4 linked regions of the Caenorhabditis elegans genome follow. The protein of the gene in region 4 purifies or fractionates together with the protein of the main gene of each other region. This does not show direct contact. Each region holds a gene or a part of one and is shown on either strand. Other genes may lie near its edges.

The links.
Region 1: the proteins of snap-29 (region 4) and syx-5 purify together in Caenorhabditis elegans (affinity purification with western blotting, with the first as the bait; one study listed by BioGRID). This does not show direct contact.
Region 2: the proteins of snap-29 (region 4) and ogt-1 purify together in Caenorhabditis elegans (co-purification; one study listed by BioGRID). This does not show direct contact.
Region 3: the proteins of snap-29 (region 4) and syx-4 purify together in Caenorhabditis elegans (affinity purification with western blotting, with the first as the bait; one study listed by BioGRID). This does not show direct contact.

What each region holds. Positions count from the first base shown.
Region 1 is NC_003283.11:11,762,575-11,767,722, reverse strand, and holds syx-5 (Putative syntaxin-5), read right to left. Parts: upstream 2,820-5,148; 5' UTR 2,805-2,819; coding exon 2,616-2,804; intron 2,540-2,615; coding exon 2,357-2,539; intron 2,115-2,356; coding exon 1,643-2,114; intron 1,598-1,642; coding exon 1,500-1,597; intron 1,046-1,499; coding exon 746-1,045; 3' UTR 501-745; downstream 1-500. Other genes in the region: sel-11 (E3 ubiquitin-protein ligase hrd-1), read right to left, coding at 1-106, 152-379; F55A11.1 (EF-hand domain-containing protein), read left to right, coding at 3,345-3,443, 3,575-3,651, 3,697-3,957, 4,070-4,193; T04F3.4 (EF-hand domain-containing protein), read left to right, coding at 4,727-4,769, 4,822-4,876. UniProt on the Caenorhabditis elegans protein: Potentially involved in docking of synaptic vesicles at presynaptic active zones.
Region 2 is NC_003281.10:7,150,473-7,155,912, forward strand, and holds the start of ogt-1 (UDP-N-acetylglucosamine--peptide N-acetylglucosaminyltransferase), read right to left. Parts: upstream 3,326-5,440; 5' UTR 3,299-3,325; coding exon 3,263-3,298; intron 3,070-3,262; coding exon 2,902-3,069; intron 546-2,901; coding exon 374-545; intron 323-373; coding exon 169-322; intron 123-168; coding exon 1-122. UniProt on the Caenorhabditis elegans protein: Addition of nucleotide-activated sugars directly onto the polypeptide through O-glycosidic linkage with the hydroxyl of serine or threonine. Influences tap habituation in the mechanosensory neurons cell autonomously.
Region 3 is NC_003282.8:8,455,350-8,459,793, reverse strand, and holds syx-4 (Putative syntaxin-4), read right to left. Parts: upstream 2,515-4,444; 5' UTR 2,514-2,514; coding exon 2,433-2,513; intron 2,339-2,432; coding exon 2,237-2,338; intron 2,010-2,236; coding exon 1,833-2,009; intron 1,687-1,832; coding exon 1,365-1,686; intron 1,166-1,364; coding exon 957-1,165; 3' UTR 861-956; downstream 1-860. Other genes in the region: ant-1.4 (ADP/ATP translocase), read left to right, coding at 1-152, 198-567. UniProt on the Caenorhabditis elegans protein: Potentially involved in docking of synaptic vesicles at presynaptic active zones.
Region 4 is NC_003281.10:8,774,452-8,778,585, reverse strand, and holds snap-29 (Soluble NSF attachment protein 29), read right to left. Parts: upstream 2,334-4,134; 5' UTR 2,321-2,333; coding exon 2,266-2,320; exon of another isoform or gene 2,210-2,265; intron 2,167-2,209; coding exon 1,832-2,166; intron 1,548-1,831; coding exon 1,227-1,547; intron 1,161-1,226; coding exon 1,038-1,160; 3' UTR 691-1,037; downstream 1-690. Other genes in the region: Putative NipSnap protein K02D10.1, read right to left, coding at 2,699-2,763, 3,067-3,630, 4,102-4,134. UniProt on the Caenorhabditis elegans protein: SNAREs, soluble N-ethylmaleimide-sensitive factor-attachment protein receptors, are essential proteins for fusion of cellular membranes.

The sequences.
Region 1 (5,148 bases), on a different chromosome or scaffold from region 4:
GAAGACCAATAAATTGCATAACGAATATTGCTGAGAAATCATCACGGAATACAGTGAATGCGAGACATGTTTCCAGAACTGCATGCCATGTACGTTCTGACAGATGCTGAAATTTATTTATGTTCAGTACTGATTTAATATTGAAAATTACCTCAGCCTCTGCAGCTCTCAAATCTCCGAATAAAATAGACTTGAGCAATTGGAACATGAGATATACAAGAACAATTCCTTGAACATATATCACTGCCATACTTGCATTGCTTTTTGAGAGATATACGATTGATGGATAGAACTGTTTGTTGATCAGGAACGCGTTGAGTATGGTGGCCGCAGTCGCCACACACGAGCCACCAATCATTAGTCCAGCTGATACCCTCATCTGAATTCCGAGGGATCTGAAAATAATTATGAACCAAAAAATTACAATAATAATAATAATAAGAAGTAAGAGTTGGTTCAAAATACCATGAATATAAGAAATAATATGAATAGTTTTGATTAAAATTTAAAAAGCTTTATGCTAAAAATAGAGAAGATTTTAATCACAGGCGGAGTTCTACCATCAATTTCCGGGTCAAGACAGAGAAGTAAAAGCTAATTCATGGAAATAATAGTAGAGGAAAATAATGATTATAGGTGATAGGAGAAGCAATTTGAATTTACTTTTCCACTTTTTTTACAATAGACACATTCAAACAAGTCAGCAATCACGGAAAAAAAAAGAACCAATGAAAAATGGAAATGTTTAGGTGAGGAAAAGAACAAATACAACAAAGAAAACCATGAGAACTCCAAAAACTTGAATCATTAACCATCGATTTTTGCTAATATTTTGAAGATATCTCACAAGCTCTGAATGTGCCATATCAATATTAAGAGCTGTATCTTCAACATTTGAATCGATTCTTGTTATCATCTCTCCTTGCTCACTGACGAGTGAAGCCAGTTGAGAGAAAATTTGGCCAAGTTCGGAGATGGATCCTTCAATTGTCGCCATGGTGTTGCTACGGGCTTGCGCATATTCCAATGATGAATCTCTTTGTTGCTGAAAATATTTGTTTCTTGGAAAGTGTTTAAAAAAACTAACTATATTCTATCTATTTTTTTGTTTGATTTTTGAGCAATTTACAGTTTTCACGATTTTTATGTTTTCAATAAACGCTCAAAAATGTCTACAATATTCTATCAAGTCATAATTTTTGGTTAATACTATTAGAAATATAATTTTTAAATTTTTAAAGAAAAAAACGAATTCCAAAGAAAATATTAACATTTCCTAACTAAAATCATAGAAATCTTACAAATTTTTTGTAACATCGCAATTTTTCAAATGTATTCTTTGCTGTTCTAAATTAGTTTCGATAAAACTTGCTTTATTGGCAAAAAATATTAATTTTTAAAAAAAGTTTCACTGTACTTCTCCTAAACACGGAGCATTGGAAATTTAATATTGATAGTTTTTCAAAAAAAATTTCATATTTTTCAAATTGAAAACTTACCATAGTCTGTTGTGATTGCATGTTTGACAGAGCACCCATATCCAGAGCTATGCTTGAGGAGCCATGCTGCTCATCATCTTGAAGAAGCTTTGAACGAACTAAAATTTCAGATTTTTATTGAATGAGCGAGGAAAATAAAATACCATTAGCTCCGGAAGAGGAGGAAGGAAGTCCCATTGGAACTGCTGCACCACTCGAGAATTTATCTCGGCGATTTTTTTCAGCCTTCATTGTTTCTGTACTAATTTCCAGTACGCTTTGATAATCTTTTCCGACATTCGCTAATTTTGACTGCAATCCAACTACAACTAATTGTATATGTCCACTATTTTGATTTTTCATGTTTCCTGCACGTCTTTTTGAAAATTCTTGAAGTTGTCCGATCTGTTTGTTCAAACCCGTAATGTCAGACTTGACAATTGATGAAAGATGGTCAATTTGAGATCGTTCTTCATAGCAGCTCTTTTTCTTAGCATATTCGGCAAGTTTTTCCATTTTTGCACACGTTTGACTCAATTCTTTTCCGATTCGCTTTGCGAGTTGATTGAACTGCACGGATTCAGATAGCATCTCATGCTTTGGTTGAGGTCTAATTCCATTTGCGGCTGCTTTCATCTGAAAAATTATATGTTACCCGAATTTTATATAAATAATAAAAATATTATCGCCTAGAATGTTTTTAAAAATATTAACAGGTGATTCGTGTTTCTTTTTTCTGTTCGAAGTGTATTTCGAGTTTCGCAAAAATCGATATATTCGTCTCGTCCAAATGTTGATGTGAAACCCGAATAACACGTTTTAAAAGTAAATGTTTCGAAATAAAAGCTTATTTTTAGAAGTTTAATGAAAAAACTCACTTCGTATGATTTGGCTGTCGCCCGGAATTCCGAAGTTCGATCTCTTGATGGCATTGTGATAATGATATGATCAAGTGGATTTCCAAAAATACTCAGCGATTCAAGTGTTTCTACTACCTTTGATCGATCTGCGTCTATGCTTTCAGTGCCTTCCGCTGTGTCGTAGGAGGATACAAGCGCCTCCTGAAAGATATATGCATGAAAAAATAAAAACCAGAAATATACAGATAGCCATCTTTCTTCGTTCCGATAGACAAACCTGCGCAGAATTCCAAAGTTGTGAAGCTGACGCGTTGAAAACGGTTGTGAGAGAGCTATACGCGAAACTAGTCGGAGCAACTGCTGAAGTGTGATTCTTCTGATCTGGATCGTAATCAAAATCGACTGTTGAGTAAGAACTGGCTTCTGGTATTCGTCGACGAGATCTAATGTTGTGAAAGTCCGACATCCGACATCGAACAAACTGAAAAATATTGTTTAAATGACTGAAAGCGTCGAAAAGATTAATATATTCAAATGTCACGGTAAAAATATTATTTCAAAAGAAAAACAAATAACAAATATTTCGCTGCATTGTCGCAACAGTCCACTAAACCGGCTCGACTTCGTGGAGAAGAAAATCAATGTGTGGTCGGAGGTTGTGCGTGGCGTTGCGTATTTTATGCGCAACAAACACGCTCCTCAATGCACTAGTTTTTCTTTTTTTTTTGTTTAATTTTCAGTTTAAGTTTTATATTTCTCAACCAAAATGCTCAGTCAAGTTAATTTTATTAAAAAAATACACATAACTTTTCGTTTCGATTTATTGTTTTAAGAAATTTCAGCGATTACCGTAAGATTTGGAACACGTTGCCTCCCGATTACCGTATCTCCCCGTAAATCGACACAAATAAAATAACAGCTTCCACTTCACGCTTCCGTTTTTGATTCCGTTTTCTGTATTCTTACTTAGTTTTGTCTATATTTTAGTGATTATAATATTACAGGAATGGCAGCCAACATTTTGGTGGTATCTTGCCTCATTCTTGGTTCCTTTGCCCACCAACCACAGCAGTTTCCTGGTTCTAATCAACAGCAACCACAACAGGTAAACAATGTTTGTAAAGAATAATAAGAAAATTATTTTCGCTAGAAATTGAACTGAAAAACAATCTGGATACAGTGATTTTTATTATTTTAAAGCTTCTTTAATTTTGTAAATTGTATTGAATAAATCAGGGTGGCCAAGCGGAACAAGCTCAACATGCTCAGCCTGGGCAACAGCAGTTTGGTGGAGAACAGGCCAGAGATGAACAGTAAGTTTTAATAACAATTTTCAAAATTAATTTAAAACATTTCAGCCACATAAAAGAACATTTGGACGGAAAAGTGGACCCAACTGCTAACATGACGCCAGAACAACTTCAATTCCATTATTTCAATATGCACGATTTAGATAAAAATGGGAAACTGGATGGAGTCGAGTTGATTAAGGCAATAACGCATTTCCATGCCGAGAATCCAGGACCACAGCATACACAAAATAATGCCAATGCCAATCATCAGCCACCACCACTCCCAAGTGAAGTTGAATTGGAGACGATGATTGATAGTATTTTAAAGTGAGATATATATTTAATTAATTTATTTTCTAGAGACTACTGCTAGCAATTAGCATAAGAAAGCACTAAAATATTCAAAGTCTTAAAAAAATACTTTACTGAATATTTTCAGGGACGACGATTTCAATGCTGATGGCTTCATCGACTACGGAGAGTTCCTCAAAGCACAAAAGCTTCGAGAAGATCAAGCAAGATCTCACCAGGAACAAATGCAGAAAGCTGGTGGCACACAATAATCGAGAATTCTGATTAGGACAACGATCTAATTAATAGCCATAATTTCCAATTCCTCGTTTCCAAAGTTTTCAATGTTTTATTAACATTCTACGTCTTTTGATGGGTTATATCGACTGCTGTAACAAATCATTTTATCATACTATCCTCGTCACTTTTAACACTTTAACTGGTACATAATAGTCAGACACCCTCCCCATTTCCCAGTCCTACAACTTTAGTTATTTTTCCAATTTTGCATTTTCCCCATCATTTCTCAAGTTGTGATGATTTTTCGAAACCCATTTGTAAAAAGCATAATTTATTGGTTTATCTTATAGTTAGTTGAGATCGAATAAAAACAAATGAAAATTTGTATTTAGCACCTGTAACAATAAAATTCATGTTTGCTTTTGCTTTTGCACTACCAAATTTTGCGTTGGAACTAAAAGGCGAAGCAGGGGGAGACTGATAATAAAATATTGACATTTGGCAGTCTTGAGAAAAAGAGTTTTCTGTCTATTTCTATTGATTTTATACATATTCCCACTCTATAATGCGTGGATTTTTATTCATCTCAACTGTATTCCTTCTATTAGGTATGCAAATCTGTTTATAACTTTCTAATGTTTATAAATTATTAAATTTTAGTGCTAGAAGCTCAAGGAGCAAAGTTTGCTGAAGAAAAAGAAGTACACGATGAAGAGTAAGTGCAAGTGTACGTATGAAAATTAGTTTGGTTAAAGTAAATGTAGATGCAATTATATGCCATATGCGAAATTTAGCAATTTTCGCGCTAAAAGCACATAACTCGGTCTCGACACGACACTTCTTGTCAAATACAAGCGGATGTGTGCCTCTAATGAGGACTGTAATTTTTTAATTTCATCGATCTTTCATTGTTGGTACACTATTTTTCAAAATTTATATGATTTAATTGATTTTTTTATTTTGAAAAAATTAACTAAAGCATTTGAG
Region 2 (5,440 bases), 1.6 Mb from region 4:
GTTTGTAGTTTTCAAGTGCATCCTGTAGTTGTCCTTTCTCTTTATAGTAATTTCCAAGGTTACTGTAGGCTTCTGCACACTGATTATTGACTTTGATGGCTAACATTGAATATTGCATTGATCTGAAAATAGATGTCCATAAAAAGAAACACTGGAGTAAAAACTCACTTTTCCAAATTTTTAGTTTGGAAATTGATGGCTGAGAGGAGCAATAGCGTTGGCAAGTTATTTGGGTCACTTTGAAAAACCAAATTGCAATATTTCTCTGCTTCCACATAATTTCCTGATTGAAACTGCCGATGAGCCAATTCAGTGACTTTTTCTGTAAACCAATTTATATTTTCAATTGTTCAAAATTAAACTCAAAACTCACTTAATGTTTCACTGACTCCATTTAAAACGACAGTAGGTTGTGGTGCAAGAGCAATTGGTTGAGCAAGTGACTGTTGAGGTGTCAAAAGAAGTTGTTGTTGTACAGCAGTTGCTCCATTTAATTGAAATTGCTGGTTGACTGCTAACTGCTGTGCCGCTTGATTTTCGAGTTGCTGAATATTATTAATTAGGCTTAAACAATTGGCATTCTACAATATTTCAGAAATTTTCAAAATTTAATTTAAAGGAGGACTAACGGTTCAGAGTATTTTGTATGTAATTTTACCTAAAATGTGCTCAAATGAACGATTTTCATAATGAAAATTCTCAATACCTTTTCAAAAATGTTCTATGGCGGTTCAAAGTTTCGAAAAACTTTTTCACAATTTTGAACCGCCATAAAAAAAACCAAAAAAGCTCAAACCTTTCTAAATCGAACCATTTTTCTTTGAAACATTCTCCACTAAGATAGGCAGCTAGGGTTACAAGATTGAGATGATAATGAAAAAGTGACAAATGTGGCAAAAAGAATATATCAATTGAAGGTTCTCTTGACCCAAAAGTTCAATACTCTCTTAAAGGGGGAGTAGAGTTTGTGGGGAAATATATGTTTCTGACTCTAATTTTGCCCCTGATGCCGAATATCGATGTGAAAAAATTCAAAAAAATTTCCCTGATTTTATAATAATTTTTAAAATCCGAAAATTCATTGGATGCCTATATGTGAGTTTTCAAACGTTGAATTTTCCCGCCAGAGACGCCCCGCCCACGAAACCGTGCCCCAAGTGTGGGTTTACGAGATGAAAATTTTCCTTCTATTTTTATTTGATTTTATACCGATTTTCGTCGATTTTTCTCATTTTTTCGCTGTTTTATATTGAAATTTTTGTTATTTCTCTTAAATTATGCCTTTCTATTGATAAAATACACAAAATTCCATGAAAAATTCCATTTTCAGCACAAATTCGACGGGAAATGAGGAAAATCGCGGAGACACGACGATTTTTTGGAAAGTGAGTACTTCTTATAGAAAATATTATTTAAAAAACAATTGAAAAGTAAGAATCGCTAAATAATTAAGCCTAAAACATCCTAAAAATCATCAGTATGTCGATTTATTCGGCAAATATCTTACTATCGTAATAAATTAAATTAAACTTCCTATTTTAATCCTAGTGCTTATCAATAGTCTCTTTACAAATCTCAATAACGAAAGTTCTCCACATTAATACAAACATTTAACATTTCAGTTATCCGGAACACGTTGATTCGTCGCGCTCCCGAGGACTATCTTCGATTTTTGTAGTTTTTTTTCCCAAAAATGTTTTTTTGTAAAGTTTATTGAATATAAACAGTCTTATAATAAATTTACTTGTCTTGTCTAAAAAACTAAAGCATTACACACGAATAAGTAATAGATTTATTGTCCGCGGTTGCCTCCACCTTGTTTCCCGTCGAATTTGTGCTGAAAATGGAATTTTCCATGGAATTTTTTGTATTTTATCAATAGAAAGGCATAATTTAAGAGAAATAACAAAAATTTCAATATAAAACAGCGAAAAAATGAGAAAAATCGACGAAAATCGGTATAAAATCAAATAAAAATAGAAGGAAAATTTTCATCTCGTAAACCCACACTTGCGGCACGGATTCGTGGGCGGGGCGTCTCTGGCGGGAAAATTCAACGTTTGAAAACTCACATATAGGCATCCAATGAATTTTCGGATTTTAAAAATTATTATAAAATCAGGGAAATTTTTTTGAATTTTTTCACATCGATATTCGGCATCAGGGGCAAAATCAGAGTCAGAAACATATATTTCCCCACAAACTCTACTCCCCCTTTAATATCTAACCGGTTTTTTCTCTTTTTCTCTCAATTTTGTATACGACCAATGTCTGTTTCTATTTATATGTTAGTCTCTAGATCATCATCATCATCATGTCCAGTAAGAGAACGAGAGAATGCATATCACGTCATTTATTAAAATGACTTATTCTTGTTTTTCATGTTTTTGGTGCATAAAAAGTTTTGTTCTGAATAATTTAAACTTTTTATCACTTATTTGTTTTATTGCATTTATTCTATAAAATAAAATCGAAAGGACATTTATGTATTTACACATATGTTTCATCATTTAGAAAATTTTAGCTCGATTTTTGAGTTTTTCGGGTAATATTTTAAGAAAAAACTACCTGGTCTCACCACGCAAAATGTTTATTAAATGCGAGAAAATATACTTATTAATTTTTAAAAAAAGCTCAAATGTATTTAAAAAACAAGACAATTTCGCAGTAATGAAAATTTGAAACTACAGTACTCCTCAAAGGCGCACACCTTTTCGACTTTAATCAATATATGTCGTTTCGAGACCGGGTTCTGTATTTTAAGCACAAAAATCGCTAAATTTCGCGTCTGGGTAATCTATTTTAGAAATGTTAGGTTTATTTTCTGTTTGATAAATTTTTTGGTCTGCTTTTCAAACCTTAAAATTTTGTTTAATTTTTAATGTTTTTTGTTTAACAAACCGTTCGAATAGCCTGCTGAACGAGATTCGCGAAACCAGGAGTCTGCATAATGTTGGCCATGTTTGCTGCCGATACTCCAGCAACTCCTCCAGGAGCAATTGATGGTGCAAGTACAGGATGTGGAGGTACTGCTCCGGGAGCCAATTGCTCTCCGGTTGCTCCTATCACCTGAAGCTTTTAAATAGAATTAGTAAGGAATTGAAGAATAAAGGAGAAAAAATAGTTAAATTTCAACTTTACAGTGTTGGAAAGTCTCAGTTCCGAAATAGTTTTTTTTGTAATTATATTTTTAATATTTTTAATTAGAAAAAATTTGAATACAATTTTATTTTCTATTTGAAAACAAAAAATAATTGTTAACCTTATTATACGACTGAAAGTAATTGGGCTTCTCCATCGTCTAATCCATTCGATATAATTCTGAAATTTGGAAATTGAACTATTGGAAACAAGAAAAAGCCAAAAAAGAAAATAATTTCAAGAAAACTGAAATTTAAATTCAAGAGGGAACAACAAGACGAAAAATTCAACAAAAGTGGAAAAAGAACGAAAATAGTGAGAGAGTGAAGAGACGTAAAAGAGATGCCAAAGACCACTGCCTGGGTCTCCACACTCTACCTACTATCTCTGATTTCTCTAAAACCTCTTCCTATCGGCCCTTCAAGTGTATGTTCTGATACGATTAGAGACAAGAGACGCAGAGATAAGAAAAAGAGATTATGTAAGAAATGGAGGGTAGAGAAAAATAGATGAACAGACCATGATTGGCCTTGAGGGAAGCCGGAAAATGGCCCGTAAAAAGATGGAACGGGATTGGGGTATAGCAGGCTAGGAATGTCGCGGCTTTTGAATTCGTTCAATATTTTAGAGTGGCAATGAATATTTATTTTTAAAATGTTTTAAGATTAAAAAAAAATAAAAGAAAATCCGAAAATTGTTCAGCATTTGAGAAAATTCATAAAATATACATCATAAGAGCTGGGTCAGTGCTGAAAATACAAGCTTCCTAAATCTCAATAATCCCTGCTACACGAGAATATAATCTTCTACAAATCTCCGTTCAATTAATCTCAATTTCCATTAGGCACGTGCTTGGTTTTTTCCAGTACCCTGGAGTTAATAGAGCTTTTTGAAATCAAAACTCTGATTTTAGTCAATTGAAATTATTACTTACAATTAAAATAAATTTTTACTCTTATGCATTTTGCTCTTATAAATTTTGTAATATGAAAAGTACCGTATCCAATACAGAATTTGAATTCAAAACAATATTAGTATCAAAAGACCGTATCATATCTAAAAGCAAAAAACACGAAAAACATGTGAGAGAATTAAAAAGAATGATGGCGGCAAAGAGAGTGAGGAAAAGAGGGGAAAAGCGAGAATTGATGTCATTTGTGAACTTTGAATCTCTACTCGTAAAACGGAATTTGATTCTTTATTGAGCTCGATACGTGGCAGGAGCAATTTAAACTTTCTTTCGAGTATAGTTTGCTTCCTTGTTAGATATACCCCTTGATTATAAAGAAAATTTCATATAAGTAAGAAAACTCAGATTTTGTGAAAAGAAAGAGTTAGCAGGAAAATAATCAAACTGTGACTTGGAACTACAGAGGACATTGTAAATTTGGAAACATTTTCTGAAAAGCAGAGTTTCGGAAATTTTTGAATTGAAAACCTTCACCAGATAGAATTTCTCGTGTTTTATATAACAGATTTTGCAGAAAACGTATTTATTCTTTCTTTTTCCAGTGAGTGTTTTAACACTTAGTACATGGAAATGCTATACGCATCAAAACCAGGAAATGAAGTAGGAACTGGAAAATGTTTCTTGCTCTCTAAACATTAAACATCAATCCTCCATTGGACCAGAATATAGAATTCGAAGATCAGAGATCACTTTTGCAATTTCTAGATTTTGGTCAAGAAAAGTGAAAGAACGGAAGACATCAGTGTTCAAACGAAGTGGGAAAGTAAATAAAAACAAAACAAAGACCAAATGATTGTAATGCTTCTGATGGGTTGAATAGAGAAACTATATTCTCATTTACTTTATAAAAAACAAATATCTTAGAATTTTGATAATGTTTCCTATTGTTTTCCTAAGCAAAAGCACAAACACAGAGCACACACAGCAGTGACGTCATTTTCGACACGAGTCACTCGCGGCACTAGAGAGACTCTAAAGATTAAAATAAATTTTCAGTAGTACGGTAAAACCCAAACGTGGCAATATAATATGAATAAAACCCAAAGTACGCATAATTTGAAAAGTGTGCGTGGGGTAATAGAGAGAATAGAGAAGCTGTCCTTTTTCTCTTGAAAAAGAGCAAGTCCTCTTTTCTACATCGTCCTTTTTCTTCATCTTCTTCCAGTTTGTCTATCTTTTCTGCGTCTCTTCACTCTCAACTCCCCCCACTTTGTCGACCACGGGGTATCCCCGTTGGTCTTGTGAAAGTGAGATAGTATTGTGAATCGAGATATCACTAGAGAAACTGAAAAGAACCCCACGCGAGGCACAGAGAAACTTCTCCGGACA
Region 3 (4,444 bases), on a different chromosome or scaffold from region 4:
GGAGCCACTTCGCTCTGTTTTGTCTACCCATTGGATTTTGCTCGTACCCGTTTGGCTGCTGATGTCGGAAAAGCTAATGAACGTGAATTCAAAGGCCTGGCCGATTGTCTCGTCAAGATCGCAAAGTCGGATGGACCAATCGGACTCTACAGGTATTTTTTCTATTTAGAAAATTTAAAAAATTATTATTTTTTCAGAGGTTTCTTTGTCTCGGTACAAGGTATCATCATCTACCGCGCCGCTTACTTCGGAATGTTCGACACTGCCAAGATGGTGTTCACTGCTGATGGCAAGAAACTCAACTTCTTCGCTGCCTGGGCTATTGCTCAAGTGGTTACTGTTGGATCTGGAATCCTCTCCTATCCATGGGATACTGTTCGTCGTCGCATGATGATGCAGTCTGGTCGCAAAGATGTTCTCTACAAGAATACTTTGGATTGTGCCGTCAAGATCATCAAAAACGAAGGAATGTCCGCCATGTTCAAGGGAGCCCTGTCAAATGTATTCCGTGGAACTGGTGGAGCACTCGTTCTTGCCATCTACGATGAAATCCAAAAGTTCATTTAATGATCTTCAATTGTTTTTGTATTTTTATTTAGTAAAATTATTTTAATTGAAATCGTTTTGTTACTCAAAAAGAGAAACTCTTTTCATGAAAAAATCAATGAACTACGGTCATTTTTGGTCTCTCTGAACAATGAGGAAACCAATGAGGAAAAACAATGTACTTATTTGATATTTAAAATAACCTACGATCTAGACTATTTCTCAATTTTATTTAATTACCAGTTAGTCAAAATTAGGGTTTCCATCAATTTAGCTCTGAAATTGAGCTTGTGAGCCAAAACTGTTCCGATATTGGCAGAAAAACGTTTATTCGTATAAATACTGTAGAAACTTGGAAAAATAATCGAAAAAAAATCACAAAAAATAGACCCGAAGGAATTAAAATAGCATTATTTCCAACCCGGGATGATTGCACCGAGGAAATGGGAGAGAAGGTAGACGACAACGAGCAGGAGCACGATCAGCGCGATGCACGTAACGATCTTCCATTTACGGTTCTTCCGACGCAGCACAACAGCCTGCCGCACGTTCTGCTGGGCTTGCTCCGCATATTCTTCGGCGCGTATCACGCTCGTCTCGATTCGGTCCACTGTTTCGCCTGAAAATTTAATACTTCGCGGTTTTTCAGGGAAGGTACTGAGCGCCTAGCAAAACTGGGACCTCTTGTTTTCGAAGATCTTAATCCTTTCTAATGCCCGCTAGATTTTGTAAAATTGGGAAAGAAAGAAAAGATTTTAGGGCAAGAGCTATGTGTATTAATTAAGCGAGTTTCAGTTAACAAAACATCAATAACTCACCTTGGCTTTGTACCAATAATTGCATATCCACAAAGAGTTCTTCGACCTCGCGAATTTGTTTCTCCAAAATCATAATATCCGTGGCGCGGTTTTTCATATCATCGAATAGTGCCTTCTTCTGCGCAACACCCAGATTAATGTTTCTCGTCAATTGAAAGAGGCTCCCGTTTTCGATGGCACCATCAATTTCCGAATCCGTCACCTCGATGTTCTGCTTTCGGAGGTATGCGGCAATCTTCTTTGCTGCCTCTGCTTTGTAGGAGGCTTGATCATCAGCAAACTGCGACATTATTCCTTCCAGCGAGACGATAAGCATTTGGATCTTAAAAATCAGGAATTAGCGGTTTCGGTTATTCATTTAAAATTTATGATTTTTTTTTCGAGAAAAGGTTGAAAAGAATTAAAATTAGTGTAAATTTGGTCACCGATTTTAGATCTAAGTTCGTTTATTTTCAGACAATTAAGCACCTGTTCGTGTCTTGCTCGCCCCGAGCCCACTCGACTCTCCGGATACTGTACCAGCTCCTCTGAGGCGTCAGCGAGCCGACGACGGATGCCACGTGCTTGAGCTATGAACTTATCCACGTGGTCGTTGAGTTTTCGGCACTTTGCTGTGTCCGAACAGCCGGCTGCCAGTGACTCTACCTGCAATTAGTGGTTTTTGGATGATTTGGCTAAAAGTCGAAAATTTTAATGTTTTGTTTTTTTGTTTTTTTTTGTTTTTTTTTTCGTGAAAGCTTTTAGTTAAAAACAAAGAAAAACATTAGTTTTCAATAAATATTTGATTTTCCGAATATTTTTAAAATTGGAATCAAACTTCGGATTTTTTGAGCATTATTTCTGATTTGTCACAGTTTCTTTTCTCTCTTTACCTGCTCCATGTAAATTGCGTGTCGATCTGCGCTCAGCGTAGTCAAGACATGACGAATTTCGTCGACATTCGCCAGAAATTGTTGCAATGAGACGTCTGCCAACTGAAAAAAAAACATTATTTTCAAGTTTTTGGAAAGAAAAATATAATTTATGTCAAAAATCTTCTTGTATATTAGTTGTTTCCATTTATTCTACCTTTGAATTGTTTTTCTCCGGACTTGCAGCGTTGATTCCAGAGATTTGGTGCATTTCGAATAGACGGTCCCGAGTAGCCATTCTGGAAATTTCGATTTTTACCAAAACAATCGAATTTTAGTGCGATACACGCAAATAGTGGTTTTTTAGGAAACGTTTTTTAGAAAGGCATTGAAATTTAAGCGAAGCTTGAGAAAAAAGAACAAAAATACGATTAAATTTAAAAAAAGTCAATTATGGTTTACGCTAAACAGGGCGCGCCTCCGGTATATCGGAGTCTCGTCGTACTGTAGTTTTGGCTTTAAAAAATTGAAATTTTTTATTTGACTTTTGTGAGATTTTTTGAACAAATATTTAAAGATTATGGAGCTTAAAGCAAAAAAAAAGCACAAAAATTGGAAAACAATTAAACTAGAATATTTTTGAACTTTCGGGAATTCTCCATTGCTCGTTTGTTCCCGACGAACCTCTCTCATTCCTTGGGTTGGTCCCTCGCGAAATCGACATTTGATTTTCCAGACATCTGAAATTTATTTTGCAATTTTTCCAAAAAAATATTTCCATATTTAAGCAAACCGTTTCAAAATTTTCTTCCAGATTATTTCAAATGTTCTTTGTACCATGTTGTTTATTTCAAATTTAAAGATAAGATGCACCTTTTCCTAACATCTGATGTTTTCGTTGACAAAACAAAACATGAATAAAGCAATGTTCCAAGTTGTCATGGACACCCACAATTAACAACAAAGAAAAATATAATAGAAGAGATAAGAGAGATAAATAGTGTTTACACCAGACAAAAGGTGTCATCACAGCTGGTTTGGGTGGCCTGTCGAGGACAAAATTTGCTGTGTCGACTCAAAATATTGGCTAGAAATAATTAAGATTATCTTCAAGTTGCTATTACTTCACATCACCTTGTTTCCAACCATGACAGTTCAAGTGGAAATAAAAAACAGAAACAAGCAACTTTTATACTTTTCCAATTAAAATTAAATTTACTCACCTGAAGATCTTCTCAAATAAATTTATTGAATTAATATGGTTAGTATTAGGTCTCCAAATAAGTTCCGGGTCAAAAATCATAACTTTGTTCGCTGCTTATCGATTTTTATGAAACTGTGGGAATTTATGTTATCAACCATGGTCTTTCATTTGAAAATAGTCACAAAAGTTTTTGACCACCCCAAGTGCACTAACTCGGAGCCAATTTTTTCAGGCATTTTTCTGATATCGCTTCTTTTCAGCTTTGAATTGAGGGTTGTGTGCGGATTTTGCTTTGTTAAGAATACATTATTAGAAAACGACAAAAGTTTGGAAAAAAATCCGTCCAAAAAAATTTTTTTGGTTGGTCGTCAAAAAATCTTCGAAAAAATTTTTTGTCGAAAATTCCTGATTTTTCCTACAAAAATGATGTAACCAAGTGTAAACTATTTTTACACATACAAAACATATCAGTTTAGTTCGAAACACTAAAATGGTAATAGAAAAAAATAATTTTTTCGGATAATTTTTGAGTTTTTTGAATATTTCTTGAGATTCAAACTTCAAACTCAAATGACTTTTATGTGTAAAAATAGTTTACACTTGGTTACATCATTTTTGTAGGAAAAATCAAGAATTTTCTCCAAATGCATTTGCGTCGCGCCTAGGCTCTATTCCATTCGACACCCTCTTCCCCCCAACTTGACCTCCAGGACTATGGCTGGTCCGGCTGGTCATTTCACTTATTTGTTCACACATCTGTTTCACACATCTCTACTTTTTTTTTATCTTCCGGTGTAACTCTTTCTTGTGACAAATAAACAATATTATTATTCGACAAAAAAATTTTTGAAGATTTTTTGATGACCAACCAAAAAAAATTTTTTTGGATGGATTTTTTCCAAACTTTTGTCGGTTTGTAATAATCTATTCTAAACAAAGCAAAATCCAAACACAACCCTCAATTCAAAGCTGAAAAGAACCGAGATCTGAAAAATGCCTGAAAAAATTGGCTCCGAGTTAGAACA
Region 4 (4,134 bases):
AGGATTTTTCTTTTTTGTTTCATATACAAAGTATATTGTATATTGAGGCGCAGAAAAATGCGATGTTTGAAATCAAAGTGCAAGCACGTTCCACGGCTAAATAAACAACTCTCCGCCCCTAAACGTTGGGTCTCGTTAGGTAAAACCGTAATTCAAACTTTTTCAAGCAGTTATAGTTAAAAATGTATGTGAAATTAAACGTTTCAATCATTTTAATAATTTCATCAACATCGAATGTTTAAAAACGTTCAAATTTTCGGTTTTCCTAACGAGACCGAACTGTTGAGGGCGGAGCGTTTTCATTTGCCAATGGAGCGCAGTTGCACCTCGATTCAAAAGTTCTCATTTTCTACGCCTCCATAATATCACTTTTGTATTAAAACAAAGCAAATATTTCCATTTCATCCAATCTCCCAATATTTTTCTTCTCGCGTTCTCTGATCCTCTCTCATTCTAACCATTTCATTTTCCATTTCTTAAAATTCCCGGTGGTCTTAGCCAAAACTTTTTCCAGTTTTCTAGTCCATCTCAAAAATCTATACGTCACAAAAATACATTTCACAACTCAAAAAACAGTCGCCTCTTGCTTTTCTGAACGAATTCTCATAATGTAAATACATATTCTTCCTAATATTTATGAATGTCATAATATTTCCCCTCAAGACTGTTACTTAAAAATGAAGACAATTTCCATGGAATCAATATTCATGTACATATTCACAAGCGACATCCACACACAAAAGCATCCAGATTATACATTTAAAGTTAATATAGAAAGTTCAAAGGGGAATTCGAGGTTGGATCTATCACATTTTTCTTTTTTTTTTCTAATTTTTTTCACATCAATTTATGAACCAATTTTCTCAAAGAAAGAACATAAATGATAGAAACGTGTTAGATTCAAGTTCAGAGATTTAACTCTAAGTGGAGTGTTGGAACAAGAAATAAACTTTTAAATAAGGTAAGTTTAGGGGAATTGAAGTGTTTTTGTTGCACTAGAGGACGGTGAGCCGGAAGAAAAAAAAGTAAAAAATCAATCATTTCCACAAAGACGTGGCCTTCATCATGAGAGACATCTTTGTCGAAGTATCCATGCTTGGGGTCAGAGACTCGGCTGTAGTTTGGCTTGTTGATGCACCAGTTCCCAGAATCTTTTGCATCTGAAAATATGTCAGTTAGTTGAGTTAACTCTTAATATATTTATCGTGTATCTTGTTTATCCTTACTTGTTTATCCTGATCTCTAACAATTCCATCGTTACGTTCAGCTTTGTATTGAATACGATCGAGCATCTCATTTTGTGAATCGACCTCTTTTCCGAGATCGGCTCCAAGACGTTGCAAGTTCCGAAGATTGGCGGACATCATGTCAAGATTCTCATCAATTTGATTATCCATAGCTTCCCAACGTGTACCTTTAATTGCCGAACGACTAGATTCGGTCAAGGTTCGTTGTCCAGATGGTCCAGAGAATGTTGCGGATCCACCACCGCTGGAGAGGTTGGTAGCGGTTTCCGACAAACGGGATGCTGATTTGGATTGCGGGACCTATAAATATATCAATTTTATGACGTATTATGGTATATTCTCGGAAAATTATTAATTTTTATATCGAAAATAAAATGATTCCAGTAGTTCCAAATGTTATATTCTACTAAAATTATGTAAGATTTTGAACGCTTTCTTTATTCAAAAACAATGCTCCATTTTTTAATATTAGAAATTTATCAACTCTCCAAAAACTCAAAACTCGTGTTCTTTGAGACTACAGAAATCCTATAGTACTTTGTAGTTTCTGAATACAAAAATTCCAGTTTAAAAGTTAAACTCACAGTCGGAGTTTCCGTCGGCTCTTGCGGTTTCTTCGTGAATTTATTTTTGAACATTCCACCGAAAAACGACTTCAAACTATTCAAATTGCGTTGTGTCATTTGCGTGGTTCGATGAATCTCATCTAAATTCTTTTCAGTATTCTCAAGCTTCTCCCGTTGCTCAAGCAACTGCTGAGCAGTCGACGTTCCGATTTTCTCCGAATTTTCGAGATGACGACGAGATCTTTCCGTACTATCCAATGATTCCTGCAGAGTTTTCTCGATTTCACGCTCGTAGTAGTCTGCTTCGTCTTCTCCGGAATAATGTCCCATCGTAGTGTAACTTTTTACGGGCACTGAAACAGAGAAAAATCAATTTTCTAGAATTTTTCCGTACTAGATAATGCTTTTAAATTTTCTGATGGATTTGTAAAAAAATAGAATTAAAAACTCACTTGTAGAAGAAGCAGCACTCGGCCTGTAGTCATCATCGAATGGATTACGAGACATTGATGAAGTTTCTAGAAGTTCAAGTTTACGAAATGAACAGAATAAATAACTTTTTAGAATAGATACAAATGGCGGAAAAAGTAATATAACCGCGTGAAAAAAAAATGAACAGTGAAAATAAAATAGTATATGCAATATTTATAAAGAGACTGGAAACCAAAATGTGGTGGGGAAAAAACTCGAGGGGAAAATAATATACATGAGAAAACGCGGGAGAGGGGAAGAAATTAAAATTAGCACAGACACCAGTACATATAATATACGATTGACTATTTGAAAATGAAAATGTGTGTGGCAAAATTAAAACGTACAAGCATTTCTTCTATATTAACCTATTCAATTTCTCAATTTGTGAATTATGACAAACATGAGAAATGTTTATTCCAGTTGAGAATATTTGGTTGGAGTCAAAATTTTCGATTGCATCTTCTTGATGAGAGGCACTGAAAAAATAAATATTTGTTTCCGTTAAAAATAACAGAAAATCTGATTTTTAGGTTATTTTTTCGGTTTTTTGTTGCGAAAATTTCAAAATCCTATGGCATTTTGTTTGAAAATTAGGAAAAACAAGAAAAAATCGAAATTTTCTAGATTTTAGTGTGTAAAAAATAATCAAAAATCCGGTTTCCCGCGGGAAAGTCAGAAATTTCGGGTTTTTTCTAAAATTTGACAAAAAAGTTTGTTTAATTTTTCTCAATTTTTTGTTTTTCATTTGTATTATTCGAGAAGACAAATTTCAGACTAACCAGTATTCGCAACAGTTGCATCCCATCCTGGCTTTGCCCAAGTAGCATGTCTCGTATCGTTACGGCCTGACATTGATGGATAAGCCCAAATGTGATAGACAACATAGAGTTGTCCAACTTGAGCAAAGAATCCTCCAACATCTTGATTCGCCTCACGTCTGTATTGAATTCCTTTTGCCCATGCAGATGCCCAATCAATCATAGTTCCAGGTTGAAGAACATATGAACGAAGATCATAAACATGATTTGGTGGTCGTTGTTCTGGTTCTCTCCAATAGCTGAATGATTTTACTATGAGATTCTTGCGGCGACCACACAGTTTAGCAACGTCATTATCAGCTGCACGGATTCCAGAATCTTTTCCATGAAGAGAAATCGATGAATCAACATCTTCATAACCTTTGTTATGTCTCCACAGATGAATTGCCTGATCACGAGTTCTTCCATAAGCACATGTCCATGATCCAACAAGTTCAATTGATGGATTCTTTTGATTCATTTCGTTTTTATACTTTCCAAAAGCATCTAAATATGCATCCTGCTCTCCTGGGCGGTAGTTGTGAGCTGAAAAATATTGTTTTAAAAAGTTAAATATATGACACAAATAAGTATTTTATACAGTCTATTTTTTATTTTTCATCTATGACTTCAAAGGCGCATTAAGACATTTTTTAAAATCAATGGGTGGCGCGTGGTGAGACCATTTCGTATAAATGCGCGCGCCTTTGAAGTCGTAGAAGAAGAATAAAAAACACTGTAAAATAATAATAAAATTGTTATAAGTAAAATTAGTATTTAGAGCATTTTTCAAAAATTTAATGACAGAAAATGAATCGTAATGACCAAATATGTCATTTTTGAAAAATTCACACTTTTTCCAGATATAATACACGATTTTTTAAATTTTGCAAAAAAGTTTAATCGGGTAAATCGTTTTTGATTTCCCGAAAATCATTATAATTTTTTAAACAATTATTTTCGCTCATTACGGTTCATTTTCTATAATTTAAATTCTCAATTTTTTAAAAAACTTACTCATGAACTCGTACATGAGCTCTGAATTCGAGA